Arabidopsis thaliana: one gene and its partners. The protein of the gene in region 1 interacts with the protein of each later gene in a pairwise test. Each region holds a gene or a part of one and is shown in the gene's direction. Other genes may lie near its edges.

The links. The genes of interacting proteins can lie anywhere in the genome.
Region 2: the proteins of JAZ6 (region 1) and AT1G01260 interact in binary tests that used the Arabidopsis thaliana proteins (3 or more experiments, as listed by UniProt).
Region 3: the proteins of JAZ6 (region 1) and TPL interact in a two-hybrid assay, tested with the Arabidopsis thaliana proteins (one study listed by BioGRID).

What each region holds. Positions count from the first base shown.
Region 1 is NC_003070.9:27,273,452-27,278,505, reverse strand, and holds JAZ6 (jasmonate-zim-domain protein 6), read left to right. Parts: upstream 1-1,943; 5' UTR 1,944-2,369; coding exon 2,370-2,523; intron 2,524-2,838; coding exon 2,839-2,962; intron 2,963-3,114; coding exon 3,115-3,441; coding exon of another isoform or gene 3,442-3,445; exon of another isoform or gene 3,446-3,965; coding exon 3,966-4,170; 3' UTR 4,171-4,538; downstream 4,539-5,054. Other genes in the region: EDA25 (CCAAT-binding factor), read left to right, coding at 4,910-5,054. UniProt on the Arabidopsis thaliana protein: Repressor of jasmonate responses.
Region 2 is NC_003070.9:107,044-112,225, forward strand, and holds AT1G01260 (basic helix-loop-helix (bHLH) DNA-binding superfamily protein), read left to right. Parts: upstream 1-1,902; 5' UTR 1,903-2,287; exon of another isoform or gene 2,288-2,362; 5' UTR 2,363-2,551; coding exon 2,552-4,324; 3' UTR 4,325-4,656; downstream 4,657-5,182.
Region 3 is NC_003070.9:5,415,008-5,422,830, reverse strand, and holds the start of TPL (Transducin family protein / WD-40 repeat family protein), read left to right. Parts: upstream 1-1,797; 5' UTR 1,798-1,994; exon of another isoform or gene 1,995-2,257; 5' UTR 2,258-2,292; exon of another isoform or gene 2,293-2,399; 5' UTR 2,400-2,471; coding exon 2,472-2,551; intron 2,552-2,651; coding exon 2,652-2,831; intron 2,832-2,935; coding exon 2,936-3,049; intron 3,050-3,160; coding exon 3,161-3,319; intron 3,320-3,416; coding exon 3,417-3,594; intron 3,595-3,665; coding exon 3,666-3,789; intron 3,790-3,888; coding exon 3,889-4,170; intron 4,171-4,262; coding exon 4,263-4,372; intron 4,373-4,453; coding exon 4,454-4,523; intron 4,524-4,598; coding exon 4,599-4,672; intron 4,673-4,754; coding exon 4,755-4,946; intron 4,947-5,029; coding exon 5,030-5,392; intron 5,393-5,483; coding exon 5,484-5,624; intron 5,625-5,704; coding exon 5,705-5,800; intron 5,801-5,876; coding exon 5,877-6,023; intron 6,024-6,114; coding exon 6,115-6,225; intron 6,226-6,298; coding exon 6,299-6,478; intron 6,479-6,559; and 10 more. UniProt on the Arabidopsis thaliana protein: Transcriptional corepressor. May repress the expression of root-promoting genes in the top half of the embryo to allow proper differentiation of the shoot pole during the transition stage of embryogenesis. Regulates the expression of PLT1 and PLT2.

The sequences.
Region 1 (5,054 bases):
CTTGTTGTATTTCTATCCGGTTTCAATTATGCAATTGTTGAAAAAATGTTATTCCTGTTCCGCATGTAATGGATACTTATTAATATGCGATAATCTTTAGGCACATATGTTATTGTCATAGTACAAGAGGAGCATGTGAAGAAGCTGCAACATTTTGGTGTTCACATCCAAAGTATCTGTCGGTGTCAAAGAACCAATTTGTTTTAGTCATTGTTGTAAAACGGACCTACATTCGTAGTCGTTACCCCTAAATTTTAAACAAATTTTATGTTTAGTATTGTCATACGTCAATGCAAATGAGTTGTATAATCTTTCAATATTGTCTTCTAATTTTATTTTATTTTCTGATAAGTACCATTTTATTTATGAAGATAACGACTGTACAGAGAATTCCCACCACAAGCTCAAGCTGCAAGACCAAACTTACCCGAAGACAACCTGTTACAGAGACACGCTAGCTCGTAACACTAGATAGAAAGGAAATCTTACCCAGCTCAAAGATTAAGTCTGAAGCACACCTAACCCAAAACTGTTGACACCATCTTGATTATGTCCATATATGAACTTAGGTCTCAAAACAACAACTATTTATTTGATAAATGTTGATATACTCTATTGCTTAAAGGAGAGTCCAACTTCGAGTGGTGACCGGAAGGTTTCGCCGTTGCCTTTTCTTTTTTGCCGTTAACGTTGGTTTGGTAGTCTTAGTAGAATCTTCTCACAATCTTGATTTTTGCATATCAAATCTGTTAGAATATGACATTCCCTTATTTTGGACATGATCAAATATGTGATCGAAACCCAACTTGCGCTTCCAACAATGTAGATAATCTTCATGTGAAATAGCGAATATTATTTGGTCTTTTGTATGTATTAGAAAATGACAATGGATCTATATTGTGTAATTAAATACACACATACATGTGTATATATTAGACTCAAGTTGTTGTTCAACTCTTGAAATCATATGATATTGAAGAGTCTTCAAAGTTCAAAGTATTATGTTCTCATTTTGCAAGTTGCGATAAATAATTCAATAAAAATGATTTTTTCCCTTGGCGCGATCGTCTACGACATTTTGTTTTAAATTCTTTTTTGGTACTCTTTGGCATTGCCTCTTATTCAAATAAAATTCAACGCTCGACTTCATTGAACAAAACGATTAAAAGATTTTATTATTATTATTGTTATAGAAATAATATTTAACTGAGCAAGTAACAAAATTCATATTAGGACTAAACAGAAATCGTTAACCTTTTACCAACATACAAAACCACAAATTCTAATATTAATTACACTCAGTTTTTGTAATTAAAAACAGAAAAGAAAATTAGGCCTATGAAGTATGAACGCTATAATATCCTTTAGCAAAGAGGGAAAAAAAACGCAAATCATGCATGAAATAAGGTTGGTACCGCCAAGATTCCGACACGTGTTGACATCCTAAACGCACATAACAATACTTCACGTGTCCTTAAACTTTGTCGGGGATAAGTAATTGACACCATTCATCGATAAATATCCACTCACAAGTCGTACTGTTGCTAATGGATCCCACATATTAAATTCGTATTAGCCATCGCAGCCGACGCGAGACTTAACTCCGTCAGAACTCCGTTAGACTATAGCGTTTGCAAATGCCCTCATTTACGCCCTTTAATAACGAATATCCTAACCACCACTAAACGAATTACCTCAGAAGGGTAAATTAGTATTTAACAGAAACTCTTGGGACCCGAATGAATTAAATGGGTTAACGCCTTTATGTAATGTCGCCGTCAACTTACAACAGTTTCTTCACGGCTTGTGCAATGAAAACGTGCCGGAACTTGTAACGAACATTGTAGTTTGATTTTTGTAATCAACCATAGGAATAAATCATTTTTTCCGCATATAATTTATTTCCCTATTTCTATTCGTGACAAAACATTTGAGGATATAGGAAATTAATAGCCTATAATATGTTTGACCATAAAAAGAATTTCTTCTTCTTGAACCATCATAAGAAAAATGTGTGTTTAGTCTATTGATCAGTTTTGTGTTCAAAAAAAAAAAAAAAATGTCTATCGATCAGTTAGGTGTAAAAAAAAAAGTTACAAAACTCGTGACAAAAACATTCTATATTGGACACACATCACTGTCACTTCAGACTAAATAAAAAAAAAGAACACGTTATTTCGTTTTCTTTATTTATTCGGGAGAGGTTAAAAGCCACAGAAACTTATTGGCTAGAATTGGTTATTTATAACAACAACACATGAGCAAAAAGCTCAAAACATCTACATACTCTTTGGAATCCTCGATTTTTTGTACGTGTAAAGAAGTCACACAAGAAAATCTTGGGTTGTTGTAATCTTCATCACACTAGTATGTCAACGGGACAAGCGCCGGAGAAGTCCAATTTTTCTCAGAGATGTAGTCTGCTCAGCCGGTACTTGAAGGAGAAGGGAAGTTTTGGGAATATTAATATGGGGTTGGCTCGAAAATCCGATCTTGAACTCGCCGGAAAATTCGATCTCAAAGGTATTTATTTATTTTTCCCTATCTATTCCGACGGCCGCCGCCTATAAAGACCAAAGTTTATATCATATACTTTTAGTATCCTGCTTCGTTGATTATTAGCATAAAGTTTAACTATATATTTTTTTTGTTGAAATGCAAAATTTTAAATCATTTTTTTCTTTTCTTTTCTTTAAACTTAAGCATGGTATTATTTTGGACAGCTTAAGTATATTAAAGTTAGAGATTCTGTGAAGTTTTTTAAAAAACGTAATAAACATGTAATTTGATTTTGATAAATTTTAATCGGTTTGCAATTTCTGTTCTAATTTGTTTTAGGACAACAAAATGTGATTAAGAAGGTAGAGACCTCAGAAACTAGACCGTTCAAGTTGATTCAGAAGTTTTCTATTGGTGAGGCCTCTACTTCTACCGAAGACAAAGCCATATATATTGATCTCAGGTACTGTACACACAAACTTCATATGTATTCGAACTCCTAAAGTGTTTGTTTTCACATTTTGTAGCAATTGAATTAGAGAAAGAACTACCGGTTATAGATGTATGGACTATGGAGTTTGACTAATTGTAAAAATGGGTTTGATTTGATTTTAGTGAACCGGCAAAAGTAGCACCGGAGTCTGGAAATTCACAGTTGACCATATTCTTTGGAGGAAAAGTTATGGTTTTCAACGAGTTTCCTGAAGACAAAGCTAAGGAGATAATGGAAGTAGCTAAAGAAGCGAATCATGTTGCTGTTGATTCTAAGAACAGTCAGAGTCACATGAATCTTGACAAAAGCAACGTGGTGATTCCCGATCTTAACGAGCCAACGAGTTCCGGGAACAATGAAGATCAAGAAACTGGGCAGCAACATCAGGTTGTGGAACGCATTGCAAGAAGAGCTTCTCTTCATCGATTCTTTGCTAAACGAAAAGACAGGTAAACTAAACTCCGAAACTGTTTTGTGCTTGGTTATGCTTTTTCTAGGCCGCTCGTCAAAATGTATGCATAGATTAGGATCAAAGTTTCTTAAAAAAGTTATATGTAAAAATAGCTAATAATTACCATATTAAGACTTATTCGAGTTATTCTAGGAATCCCACATCGGATTAGAAGCGTATTACCAATCAAGTTTAAGTTGAACATTCATGAAATTGAACATAGGGTGGTCCTAGTATGTTTATGAATTATGATTCCTAGAGTAAGATTTCGAGATGTGACTCAAGTGTCATCATTTATAAAGAACATGTAAAAAATCTTACAAGTTACAATGAAATTCGAGATGGGACCTAGAGTAGTATATAAGAGATATGAGTCCATCATCTATGTGTCCTTGATCTAGGAAAATTATTAGTAAAATGTCGAGAAATTTCTAGTTAAAAAACACTAACTAAGAGTTCTTTGTAAATCAAAACTTCAATATCTACTTTGTCTTAAATGTTGATTAATTGTTTTGATTTCAGGGCTGTGGCTAGAGCTCCATATCAAGTGAACCAACACGGTAGTCATCTTCCTCCCAAGCCAGAGATGGTTGCTCCATCGATAAAGTCAGGCCAATCGTCGCAACACATTGCAACTCCTCCAAAACCAAAGGCCCATAACCATATGCCGATGGAGGTGGACAAGAAAGAAGGACAATCTTCCAAAAACCTTGAACTCAAGCTTTAGGGCGTATAAAATGCACGATCGAGTTCACGTTTCTAGTTTTCACTTATTTAGGATTTGAACCCAAATACCCTTTTATATTTTCTTCCATTACTTTTGACCAATTTAAGTTATTTATAGTACTGTATTACGTAGCTAGTATTTATATTTCAAAACATACATATTTTGATACTTGTTTTTTAGATTCTTTAATTAAAATTGTCATCTGGATTACCCTTTATCGAAATTTTTTAATCACCTGATATAATCTCACCAGTGATGGATTTGCGTTGTTAGTAATTTTTCTAAGTGGCAAAAGTATATTAACCTATAATAGGTTTCAAAGATATACATATAATGTTTCTATCAAAGATATTAGTATAATATTTTACCACATGATCGAAATCTCACCAGTTATGGATTTGCATTGAATGTTCTAGCGATTGGGCTGGACCGTCTCAGGAACCCAACCTTAATGAAAAAACATCGTCTCATTGATTTTAGGTCGTTAAGTCTGTTTTGCCCTTGTCTTATCCCGTAATTACGAAATTAGCCTTCTACCATTTCCTCTGTCTGCTTCTCTCTTGCCGTTTTCTAAAACCCTAAAAATTTCTGTTGAACCCCAAACATTGAAGTTTATCTTTCTTTTTCATTGTTCGATCTCAAAGCACAGAGATTGCTTAAACCTAACTGTCTCAGTTCTTTTAAAAACAGTCATCTCTCACAAAACTCTCTTAACCCTCTTCATATGCTTTGAGAAAAAATGTCAAAGATAAAGCCTTTGAGTAAATCATCGCAGGACTTGAGTCTTCTCACATCTGATATCGCATCATTCGCTTCTTCTATTGGCTTAGCTTCTGCTCTTCCTTCTTCGGGTTTCAACGACACTGATTTCCGAAAACCAGCTA
Region 2 (5,182 bases), about 27 Mb from region 1:
AGATTTGTTTTTTTGTTCATACGATGAGCTTTAAGTTTTGGTCGGTTCTTTTTTCCTTTTCGTGAGTTGTTGGTAGATTAAAGTAGTCATCTTATGATTTGTGTTTTTTTTGGTTGTTACCAAAAAGGTGACGATTTTGTTGACGTTAAACACGGAATTCATTGTAACATGAATATATCAACTATAAACGCCAAAATGGGATTTTCTTTTTTTTATAAGGTAACAAAATTAAGGAAAAACTATTGTTACAACTTCAACTTGCAAGTATGTTTCTGAAGCTAGAGTTTACAGTCACGTGTGAAAATCAAACCAATTTGGATCATTATTGAAGATAAATGAATACTTGATATATTGTTAGTACAAATTTAAACAAAGCGATAGGTTTAGTGGCATTCAGAATAAGTTCACCAAGAACCGGCACTACTTTATCCGGGATTAAATCAACTCTTACAATAGAGTTAACTGGACTAATAGGCCGATTTGTTGTGGTAAAACAAAACCAATGAAATATATGATAAGATTGAGATTTAAGAATTCAAGACTGAGTCCGTTGAACAGCCCATTCTAATTCTGATTGCTAGATAAGGGATAGATGGGGGGCATTATTAAGGTTTGGGAAAAAGGCTGATATCACGTTTGACCTAGCACATATGTGGCCCAACATTACAAGAATTCCATAGAAAACCAGTATTGTAATATCGGCCCATATTATATTCTTGACGACTTGGAGATATTGTAAGTCGACGTCGTTGTTTGACTTAGATGGGAATGGGACCCAAACGTCTCGAATAAAGGATAGTTTAAACACGTGAATCACGCGGTCCCCACTTTTTGCTGTGTGTTTCTCACCGCCATACATATATTATACCCACTCGTGACTTCATTTTCCATAATTACTATATATACTAATTTTTTGTTTTAACTTTATCGTTTGTTAAAGATTTTTCCAAAATAATATAGTCATTGTATATTCATTTTCGCAGAGCCGTAGTTTATATTTTGATGATAATTTTATGACTTAAAGAGTGAAAGCTATAAATATATTACAATTCAATTGTGGTTGCGAGAGAATAAACAAAAAGAGAAAGAGAAAAAAAAAACGTTACAGAAGAGAAAGTGCAGAGCTGTGCAGGCGCATTTGAAAATGAAATTAAAAAGAAAAAGAGATCCAAAGAAAATTAAATGCATCTCACGTTCTTCTCATTCTGGTCATCTCTCCTAAATCCACGTGAACTTCACGTGCTTTTCACGCCCTCCTCTCTATCGACTTGGCGTTTCCTTTCTTCTAAAGGAGTTGAATTGTTTTGTCAACATTTATCAAGTTATTTAGTAATTTGTTTTTTTGTTTTGTTTTTAAAAAAATTATTTACTCCCGTTGTAGAACCACCATCAATAATATTACCAAAAATAATAATCAAGGATCTAAACTAAAATAAGCCTTTTATTTTGTATAATTCTGAAAGCATTTGAAACTTAAGGAACAACTCTTTAGTCTTTGCAACAAAACAAAACACAACAAAAACCGAATATTTAAGCCTAACTTGAATGTGAATTGATTTGGTCAAAATTCCCGGTGCTTGACCACCGGTCTTAGTTGGCATACTTTGCAATTATGTAAACAAAAATTTTAAAAATTGAAAGCAAACTTCTAAATTTGGGTTTGGTTTCCCCTTTAGTTATTTCCATGAACATGAGAATCTAATCTCGAGTTGTCAGATAGTATTTGTTTAGATCTACACCAGTTGAGATAGATCTGTTGCAAATTTTTAATTAATCAAAACCCATAATTGAAAATTATGTCAATCAATTATTGACAAAAACCATGACATAATCTAAGGGGTTTTCAATCGTCGTGTATCAAAGACTCGAGACAAAGACTAAATCGAACCAGACCCGGTTTAAGTTTCTAAACTCAATTGTGTAGTTAAGTAGCTAACCATGGTTCAGATGAAAGTCTTTTTGTTTTGTTTTTTGTTTTGTTTGTTGGGGTTTGGTCTTTTAATAAAAAAGAGCACGAAGAACATGCGTCGGACTCTCTCTCTTCCTTGAATTCATTCAATTGGCCACGGCGACAAAACAGGGAGCCGATACAGCGAAACTGATACATCTTTTTTTATTTTCTGGATTCTTAGGGTTCTTTTTCGGGGAATTTAGGTAATTTGTTTGTCCATTTTGGTGGGGTTTGGGAGATTTAAAATTTGTGTTTTTTTTTGGGTCGGATTCTCAAAAATCTGATTTTGAGGAGAAAATCTCGGTGGAAGAGACTTGATTCAAATCTTCTTTACTGGTAAAAATATATTCTTCTCAATTCCTCATTTTCTGTTGGTGGAGTTTGATTTTTGTCATTTAATTGTTGTTAAAGAAAATAGGGGCAAGATCTGAGATCTCTGGGTGTTCCATGCAAAACTGTTATACTCCGCCGTATATTTGCATCTGGGTCACACTTCTAAACCCTATCATTTGACTTAAGAATCGATTTCTGAAGATCTGGGTTTCTTAAAAGTCTTTCCTTTTTGTTGGGATCCAAACAACAAAAGAAAAGAAAGCAGAGATGAATATTGGTCGCCTAGTGTGGAACGAGGACGATAAAGCGATTGTTGCGTCATTACTGGGCAAACGAGCTCTCGATTACTTGCTTTCCAACTCTGTTTCCAATGCTAATCTCTTGATGACTCTAGGAAGCGACGAGAATCTGCAGAACAAGCTCTCGGATCTCGTCGAGAGACCCAACGCTTCTAATTTCTCTTGGAACTACGCCATTTTCTGGCAGATTTCCAGGTCAAAGGCCGGAGATTTGGTTCTCTGTTGGGGCGATGGATATTGCAGAGAGCCTAAAGAAGGAGAGAAATCAGAGATCGTTAGGATTCTAAGTATGGGAAGAGAAGAAGAAACGCATCAGACTATGAGAAAGAGAGTATTGCAAAAGCTTCATGATTTGTTTGGTGGCTCAGAAGAAGAGAACTGTGCTTTAGGACTAGATAGAGTTACTGACACTGAGATGTTTCTTCTTTCTTCTATGTATTTCTCATTCCCTCGAGGTGAAGGTGGTCCAGGCAAGTGTTTTGCCTCTGCTAAACCTGTTTGGTTATCCGATGTCGTCAATTCGGGTTCTGATTATTGCGTTAGATCGTTTCTTGCTAAATCTGCTGGCATTCAGACTGTTGTTTTGGTTCCTACTGATCTTGGTGTTGTTGAGTTAGGCTCAACTTCATGTTTGCCTGAAAGTGAAGACTCAATCTTGTCTATAAGATCATTGTTTACCAGTAGTTTGCCTCCGGTTAGAGCTGTTGCTTTACCTGTTACTGTAGCTGAAAAGATTGATGATAACAGAACGAAGATATTCGGCAAGGATTTGCACAATTCAGGGTTTCTTCAACATCATCAGCATCACCAACAACAACAACAACAACCACCGCAACAGCAACAGCATAGACAGTTTAGAGAGAAACTCACGGTTAGAAAAATGGATGATAGAGCTCCCAAGAGATTAGATGCTTATCCGAATAATGGGAACAGGTTTATGTTTTCGAACCCAGGCACCAACAACAACACTCTTCTGAGTCCTACTTGGGTTCAACCTGAGAACTACACGAGGCCAATCAACGTGAAGGAAGTTCCAAGCACGGATGAGTTCAAGTTTTTACCTTTGCAGCAATCATCGCAGAGGCTGCTTCCTCCTGCTCAAATGCAGATAGATTTCTCTGCTGCGAGTTCAAGGGCTTCAGAGAATAATTCAGATGGAGAAGGAGGAGGGGAATGGGCAGATGCAGTGGGTGCTGATGAATCTGGTAACAACAGACCAAGAAAACGCGGAAGGAGACCTGCCAACGGAAGAGCGGAAGCTTTGAACCATGTAGAAGCAGAGAGGCAGAGGCGTGAGAAGCTTAACCAGAGGTTTTACGCTCTGAGATCCGTTGTTCCCAACATATCCAAGATGGACAAAGCGTCCTTGTTGGGAGACGCGGTTTCTTATATAAACGAGCTTCACGCGAAGCTAAAGGTCATGGAAGCAGAGAGAGAGAGGTTAGGGTATAGCTCAAATCCACCTATCAGCTTGGATTCAGATATAAATGTTCAAACCTCAGGTGAAGATGTCACAGTGAGGATAAACTGTCCGTTGGAGTCTCATCCGGCTTCCAGAATCTTCCATGCGTTTGAAGAGAGTAAAGTAGAAGTGATAAACTCGAACCTGGAAGTTTCTCAGGACACAGTGTTGCATACGTTTGTAGTCAAATCTGAAGAATTAACGAAAGAGAAGCTGATATCGGCCTTGTCTAGAGAGCAAACAAATTCAGTTCAGTCAAGAACATCATCAGGTAGATAGCCTTTTGAGAGACAGAAGAAGGTGGAAGTAAGTTTGTAATCAAGAACCGGTTTTGAATGGTTCTTTTTTTCTTCTAGGTATCTTTTGTTTTTACCTTTTTTTGGTTATATACCTGTAAGAATCCTCCAAACTAGGATTTTAGAAGTTTTATTGACAAAAGTAGACATTATCATTTACTCGTTTTACAGTGGACAAAGCTGGGAATTAAGTAATTAACGATAATGTTGTATCTGTTAAAGTCGTAGACTAGCTCATGAATCAGTCTTTATTCATTCTGATATGTCCTATGTGTTGGATTTGGTGAAGTGTTTAATCGACAAGTCAGATAAGTGTTATGGATTGGTCACGGAATTGCTCAAGAACAACAAAACACAGCTGATTCATTGCTTGTGAACAAGAGGAAACACTATGATGTTCGTGCACACCATTTTTAGTGTTCAAACTAACATAAACCGTTATCGCCTGGGGAAAACAAAAGTTTTAAGAAGAGAAACAGGTGGAAAATGTAACAAAAATAAAAATAGGTTCCACCGAGACTTGAACTCGGGTTACTAGATTCAGAGTCTAGTGTCCTAACCGCTAGACCATGGAACCGCTTGATGTTTAGATTGCAGTAAATACGTTTTTAATATGTTTCTCTATTGTGAGTCAAAGGGTAATGCGATGTTTCTTTCTAGATTTCCTAAGCTAACTCAGTCCTAATAAACCGATTAAAAAGAACATGAACAAAGCATGCAGATCATAAAAGTGTCACACAAAGAGAGAGATACATGTTAGATTGTTTTTTTTTCTTCTCTTAAATGATAATTAATCGTTCTAACAAAAACTTAGCTACTAGTCTTCCATGATTTGTTATAT
Region 3 (7,823 bases), about 22 Mb from region 1:
TCATTCTAACTTAATCATTAGACTACAATCAATTTGTTTAGAATATATTTGTGTTGCGCTCATAACGATTCTTTTCAATATATATTGTTTGATTAAAGCTTTTAACAAAGTACAGTTTGCTTTCTAAATTATTTTTAACACGTATCCAGTTTTTTAAAAATATATAAAAATATATTCTTCACACCTATCATTTTTTATAAATAAAATATTTTTAACATTTAAAGATATATAAGATATTTCTAATAGTATAATTTATTTTTAATACTTATCATGTTTCTTAAATGGTTTGAACGCTTCGTTTCATTAGTTTATCCAACCTACCTCAGTTATGATATTACACTTTAGTAAAATAAAAAAAAACTGGTTATAAACTTAAAATATTATGCTTTGCTCGTATTAAAGAATTTCAGTACTTGTATATCGTTTTTTTAATTATTATTATGATTTATGACCTCGCGATTCGTGATGGTTAGTAGTAGACTAGTCGTAGTGGACAACTACTGTAAGAAAAAAAACTAAAAATAGATAGACACACACGCTAAATTAAATAAATCGTAAATCACGATTACATATTTATGTTTGTACTTGAAAATGTTATCGCTTTACGTGTGGTGATGGTGAGACAACAGTGTTTGTGTTTGGACGGGATAGATGTCAAATTACTCAAACGTGCGACTCTAAATTACACAAACTCTCATTTATTGCCCATCCTCCATCGATATCTTCACCCCTCTAATATATTTTAAAAATGTTATTTATAACTTCAACAATACACATTCGGTTTCATTTACAATTAATCCTTGCGTTATTATTACTTCTAAGCTATAGTATCTTGTACTTCCTTCCCCTGCTATTATTTAAACGGAAAGAATCCAGCTAATTCCGATCCACCTGCTCCTAGTAGCAATCTATCTATAAACAAACAAAACTAAAGTATAAATTATCACGAACATCTTAACAATAATAGTCAATGCAAGTGGTTCTTGTGTATACAAAGAATTAATAGGAACTACTATCCACATCCTTACGTTTACATTTTTCACAACCAATCATGCACTAAATTAACCTCTAATGAAAAAGTTAAAAATAAAGAATAATATTATCAAAGAATAATGATAATGTTCAGCAACATGTTGGACCAAGAAATGTTCAAACAATACTATAATATTGAAATATTTAGTAGTATTAGTTTTGTTCTTGTTTTTTTTATATGAGGAACATCAGCCATATCGTATAAATCGTGATAAACCGAGTTTATAAATCATATTTCGTATCTCGCCGAGAAGAAAGACGACGTAGCATCTTTACGAGTTGAACATTTCTCCATCACGTGATGTTCGATGAGTTAACGCATCTCAAGAGCAATTGGCTCTTCAATGTCATATCCGTAAATATTAGTCAAACTTGAGGGCAATGACTCAATATAAAAAGCTTTGTCGTGCCACGAGGGATCTGGAGACAAGTCTGACACATTGAATGAAACTCTAGCCGTTAGATCTCCGTCCTCCGCGCCATCTGACAAAATCGACGGTTTTCCAGATAGGTGTAAAACTCATCGCGAAGGAGTGGATCACACCTCTGTGGAGTACAGCTGGCAACTAATATTCCGAGCCGATAACGTCGAGAAATGTAGCCGATCAAGTCGTAGTTATAAGCAGTTCTACTTATCATTCCTGCTTATCGCAGTTAGCTTTTCTTAGAGTGATAGCTAACTTATTTTATCAGCATCCAATTATCTGTCACCTTCTCTTATTAAAATCTCCATTTCTGCAAGTTTTAATGTCCGTATATATATCTCGAAGAGAGAGAAAATCCCTTTTTCTCTAGATAGAGAGAGAGAGAGAGAGAGAGAAGAAGAAGCTTTTTAATTTAGTTTTGCTTTCTTTCAAGTTTCCTTTTTTCGATAGAGAGAAAAAGAGTCCAAAAATCAATCCATCACCTCTTTCGTCTCTGTGGTCTTCTTCTTCTTCTTCATCGATCTCTCTCTCTTTATGGTGAGTAAGCTTCACGCTTCTTTCTTCTACCTTTGTTGCCTCTGTTAATGGAATCTAGCTGTTTCGAGTTTTATTGTATATATTTTTTTATCCTTTTGCCCAAACTTTTTTCTGGGTTTTGCTTTATTTTTTCATCCCCCTTTCTGATAATTAATTTGCTTTTTTCATGTAGTAAAAAAAGATTCTTTTTTTAAGCTATTAAATTCACATCTTCCAATTCCAGGAAGACCTAAATTTCCTCTTTTTTTTGCCGTTATCTGCAGAGATGCGAAGTTTCTGGATAATTATTCAGATATAGGTTCCAAGTTTTTAGCTTTCATTTCTAACTTCTCTTTTCGTGTTTTTTAATTTCCATAATCTGGAAACTCAGATTTGAGCTCATTTCGGCCATTGTTTATATTGCAGATCTGGTGATAGTTTGGTTAGTTGTTGTGCATCTGAGTTAGAAAAAAGTCTTTTAAGGAAGTGAGAGAAAACATGTCTTCTCTTAGTAGAGAGCTCGTTTTCTTGATCTTACAGTTTCTCGATGAAGAGAAGTTTAAAGAGACTGTTCACAAGTATGTCTCTTTTGCTCTGTAGATTTCCTTGGATCTAATTTACCAACTGACCTGTTTAGCTCTTGTGTTGGTTAATGCATTATTGCTTTGTCATGTTCAGGCTTGAACAAGAATCTGGGTTTTTCTTCAATATGAAGTATTTTGAGGATGAGGTTCACAATGGAAATTGGGATGAGGTTGAGAAGTATCTCTCTGGTTTCACTAAAGTAGATGATAATAGATACTCTATGAAGATATTCTTCGAGATAAGAAAGCAGAAGTATCTCGAGGCTTTGGATAAGTAAGTCATGGTTGGGGATTTGTTTTTTTTTTTTCCTTTCAGTGAGATAGCAAAAGAAAAAGAGTCTGATTTGTGATTGACCTTGGTGACTTTTTTGTTGGTAGGCATGATCGTCCCAAGGCTGTGGATATACTAGTGAAGGATTTGAAAGTGTTTTCAACTTTTAATGAGGAGCTTTTCAAGGAAATAACACAGCTCTTGACATTGGAGAACTTCCGGTAATGTTATATTGGATTAATGTAGTGTCCAAAGCCTTTGTTTTCTTAGCCGTAGTTCAAAAGAAAGATTGATGCAGAGTATTAAGTGTTTCGAGTTTGATCAACTTTTAGGGAGAATGAACAGTTATCCAAGTATGGGGACACCAAGTCTGCAAGAGCGATCATGTTGGTGGAACTCAAAAAGCTGATTGAGGCGAATCCTTTATTCCGTGATAAATTGCAGTTCCCTACTCTTAGAAATTCAAGGCTGAGGACTTTGATCAACCAGAGGTTTATTGCTTTGTCCCTTAATCTTTTTGTCTTATTCACTTCAAGTTGTTGTTGGCATATTAATTCATTCTATCTTTTGTTACTGCATAACTCGCAGCTTAAATTGGCAACACCAGCTTTGTAAAAATCCAAGGCCAAATCCAGATATCAAGACTCTTTTTGTGGATCACTCTTGTGGCCCTCCAAATGGCGCACGAGCTCCATCTCCTGTGAACAATCCACTGCTTGGAGGGATACCAAAGGCTGGAGGATTTCCTCCTTTAGGCGCACACGGGGTAATTTAGTTTCTATCATTTTTATTTATGTTTTCCTGAGGCCAAGTGTTTGATTGTCTCTATGTTTCCAGCCATTTCAACCAACGGCGTCACCTGTTCCAACACCTCTTGCTGGTTGGATGTCTAGTCCATCCTCTGTCCCACATCCAGCTGTCTCAGCAGGAGCCATTGCACTTGGTGGTCCATCAATCCCAGGTACTACTTGCTTATCAAATGTGTATGTTTCTTCAGACACACTTTGTGTGATCTATGCAATTTGCTTACAATGGAACTCCTTTCCTATCTTTGGTATAGCGGCGTTGAAGCACCCGAGAACTCCTCCAACTAATGCTTCTTTAGACTACCCGTCAGCAGATTCTGAACATGTCTCAAAAAGAACAAGACCAATGGGAATCTCTGACGAGGTGAATCTAGGCGTGAACATGTTACCGATGTCATTTTCAGGGCAGGCCCATGGTCATTCTCCGGCTTTCAAAGCACCTGACGACTTGCCCAAGACAGTTGCGAGAACTTTGAGTCAGGGCTCATCTCCCATGAGCATGGATTTCCATCCAATTAAACAGACCCTGCTTCTAGGTGTGTTTCTTGCTCTCTGTATGTGCTTCTGTGTAATAATAATAATAATAATCATCAGCAATTTTCTAAATTCGTTTGAATTGTTGTACCAGTTGGTACAAATGTAGGTGATATCGGGCTGTGGGAAGTTGGTTCTCGCGAAAGATTAGTACAGAAGACGTTCAAAGTCTGGGATTTGAGTAAATGTTCAATGCCCTTGCAGGTGCCTATGCATAGCAACAACAAAATGTTAACTTTTATATATGTTATGAATCTACAGTGACTGAATTAGTTGTATCTTCAGGCTGCTCTGGTGAAAGAACCTGTCGTTTCTGTCAACCGTGTGATATGGAGCCCTGACGGTTCCTTGTTTGGTAAAGAACTCGCCTTTAAATTTATATCTGCACATGAATGCAACTTTATAAGTCACCAAACGTTCTGAATTGCAGGAGTTGCTTACTCGAGACATATTGTACAACTATACTCTTATCACGGAGGTGAAGACATGAGGCAACACCTTGAGGTCTCGTACCATTCACAAGCCTCTCTCTTTAACAATCGTTTTTTCCCTTGGGGATTTTCTTGTAATATTGTGATTATTTCAGATTGATGCTCATGTTGGTGGTGTGAATGATATTTCCTTCTCGACTCCAAACAAGCAACTATGTGTAATAACTTGTGGTGATGACAAAACCATCAAGGTTTGGGACGCTGCAACAGGTGTCAAAAGGCATACTTTTGAAGGCCATGAAGCTCCTGTTTATTCCGTTTGTCCTCATTACAAGGAAAACATTCAGGTAAGCTTAGCTAACCGTTGATCTCCCTCCCTTCTATTAAATGTTTCAGTTTTTTGATGTGTTGTATTTTTCCTGTCATCAAGTTCATATTTTCAACAGCTCTTGATGGGAAAATTAAGGCTTGGTTGTATGATAATATGGGTTCCCGAGTTGACTATGATGCACCTGGTCGCTGGTGTACTACAATGGCTTATAGTGCCGATGGTACTAGGCTATTCTCTTGTGGGACGAGTAAAGATGGAGAGTCTTTCATTGTTGAGTGGAATGAAAGCGAAGGAGCTGTTAAAAGAACTTATCAAGGATTCCACAAGCGTTCTCTAGGTGTTGTGCAGTTTGATACAACTAAAAACCGTTATCTAGCTGCGGGTGATGATTTCTCCATCAAGTTCTGGGATATGGACGCTGTACAGCTTTTAACTGCCATTGATGGCGATGGAGGCCTCCAGGTACATGAACAAAAAATGCCTAACTAGAAAAGTTTTCAGATATTCTTTTGGAGTTTCTTCTTAACTTGCGCTTCTAATATATTTAAACTAGGCAAGCCCGCGTATCCGGTTCAACAAGGAAGGCTCTCTCCTGGCCGTGTCTGGCAACGAGAATGTGATCAAGATTATGGCAAACTCAGATGGTCTAAGGCTATTGCACACTTTTGAGAACATATCATCTGAATCCTCCAAGGTACTTAAAATCTAAGCTAAGCTTTAAATTACTTACACCCAATTGAAAGATTTAGTCAACACTTCATTCTACATTTGCAGCCTGCAATAAACAGCATAGCAGCGGCAGCGGCAGCTGCTGCAACAAGTGCTGGTCACGCAGATCGATCAGCCAATGTAGTTTCCATCCAAGGAATGGTAAGAAATACAATTCTTTTTTGTTCTTTCACTCACTTTATTTTATCTTTCTATTATTCATCACTTGCCTTTTTAGAATGGAGATTCGCGGAATATGGTGGATGTGAAGCCAGTGATCACAGAAGAATCAAATGATAAGTCTAAGATATGGAAGCTTACTGAAGTCAGCGAGCCTTCTCAATGCAGGTCACTGAGACTCCCTGAGAATCTGAGAGTAGCCAAGGTATATAAAATATACATTTTCTGAGCCATGTATAGGGTATATATATATAGCTGTTCTTTTTTCTGACAATAAAACCAATGACTTTTGGCAGATATCAAGATTGATTTTCACGAATTCGGGAAATGCTATTTTGGCTCTGGCATCAAACGCAATTCATCTTCTATGGAAATGGCAGCGGAATGAGCGCAACGCAACTGGAAAGGTGAAATTGAGACTCTTTCTTAGTCAAATAATGATAAGTGTCACTGATCTCTACATCTCGATTTTCCGTGTAGGCGACAGCTTCTTTACCGCCTCAGCAGTGGCAACCAGCTAGTGGGATCCTCATGACTAACGATGTTGCTGAAACCAATCCCGAGGAAGCTGTACCTTGTTTTGCTTTATCCAAGAATGATTCATATGTAATGTCAGCCTCCGGAGGAAAGATATCCTTATTTAACATGATGACGTTTAAGGTAATGGGGACACATAGATGCTGATCTTTTGATGTTCTGTGTATGCAATTTGACTGACTGTTCTTGGCTAATAATTTGCAGACAATGGCGACTTTCATGCCCCCACCACCGGCTGCTACTTTTCTTGCTTTTCATCCTCAAGACAACAATATCATCGCTATTGGGATGGATGATAGCACGATTCAGATTTATAATGTCCGTGTTGATGAGGTAATGCATCAAAACTCAAGAGAAGAATGTAGAAAAGAAGATGAAGTGTTTTGTTTGTTAATATGATGGCCATCATGTTCCTTGTTTGCTCCTGCAGGTGAAGAGTAAGCTTAAAGGTCATTCAAAGAGAATAACTGGTCTTGCCTTCTCCAACGTATTAAACGTGTTGGTTTCGTCTGGAGCAGATGCACAGGTTCCCGCCTTAGACCATTTTTTTTTTTTTTTTTGAGAATCGATGAAGAAAAGATCAATAGTCTTTGAAATGTTTTTGTTTCAGCTTTGTGTTTGGAACACAGATGGATGGGAAAAGCAGAGAAGCAAGGTTTTGCCACTTCCACAGGGAAGACCAAACAGTGCACCTTCAGATACGCGTGTTCAGTTCCATCAAGATCAAGCTCACTTCCTCGTTGTGCACGAGACGCAACTTGCTATATACGAAACTACCAAGCTCGAATGCATGAAACAGGTATTTTATATTTATAGGCCGCTCTCTCTAAGATCTGCAATTTATTGCATTTGAAAGATGATTAATGATTGCAATGTTTCAGTGGGCTGTTCGAGAATCATTAGCTCCAATCACTCATGCCACATTCTCATGCGATAGCCAATTGGTCTACGCGAGTTTTATGGATGCAACAGTTTGTGTATTTAGCTCTGCAAATCTACGGCTGCGTTGCCGGGTCAACCCTTCTGCGTATCTACCAGCTAGTCTCAGGTAAACAGAGGAATCTTGAAATTTACCCAAAAAAACAGAGGAATCTTTAAATTTCGGAAAGAACGTTTCTAAACATCAATCGGTTAGTTGTTTATATATCATAAAGCTCCTCTTGTTGACTTGTGCAGCAATTCAAACGTACATCCACTAGTGATTGCTGCACATCCGCAAGAACCAAACATGTTTGCAGTTGGTCTCTCAGACGGGGGAGTGCACATATTCGAACCGCTCGAGTCTGAAGGTAAATGGGGAGTCGCTCCACCGGCTGAGAACGGGTCGGCTAGCGGTGCACCAACTGCACCTTCCGTTGGAGCCTCTGCATCTGATCAGCCTCAGAGATGATCTGATCCGAGAGCCACCTACCTCTCTGATTCCCTTTCTTCTATTTAAAAGTCTTTTCTTTCTTATTTTTTTGGTAGA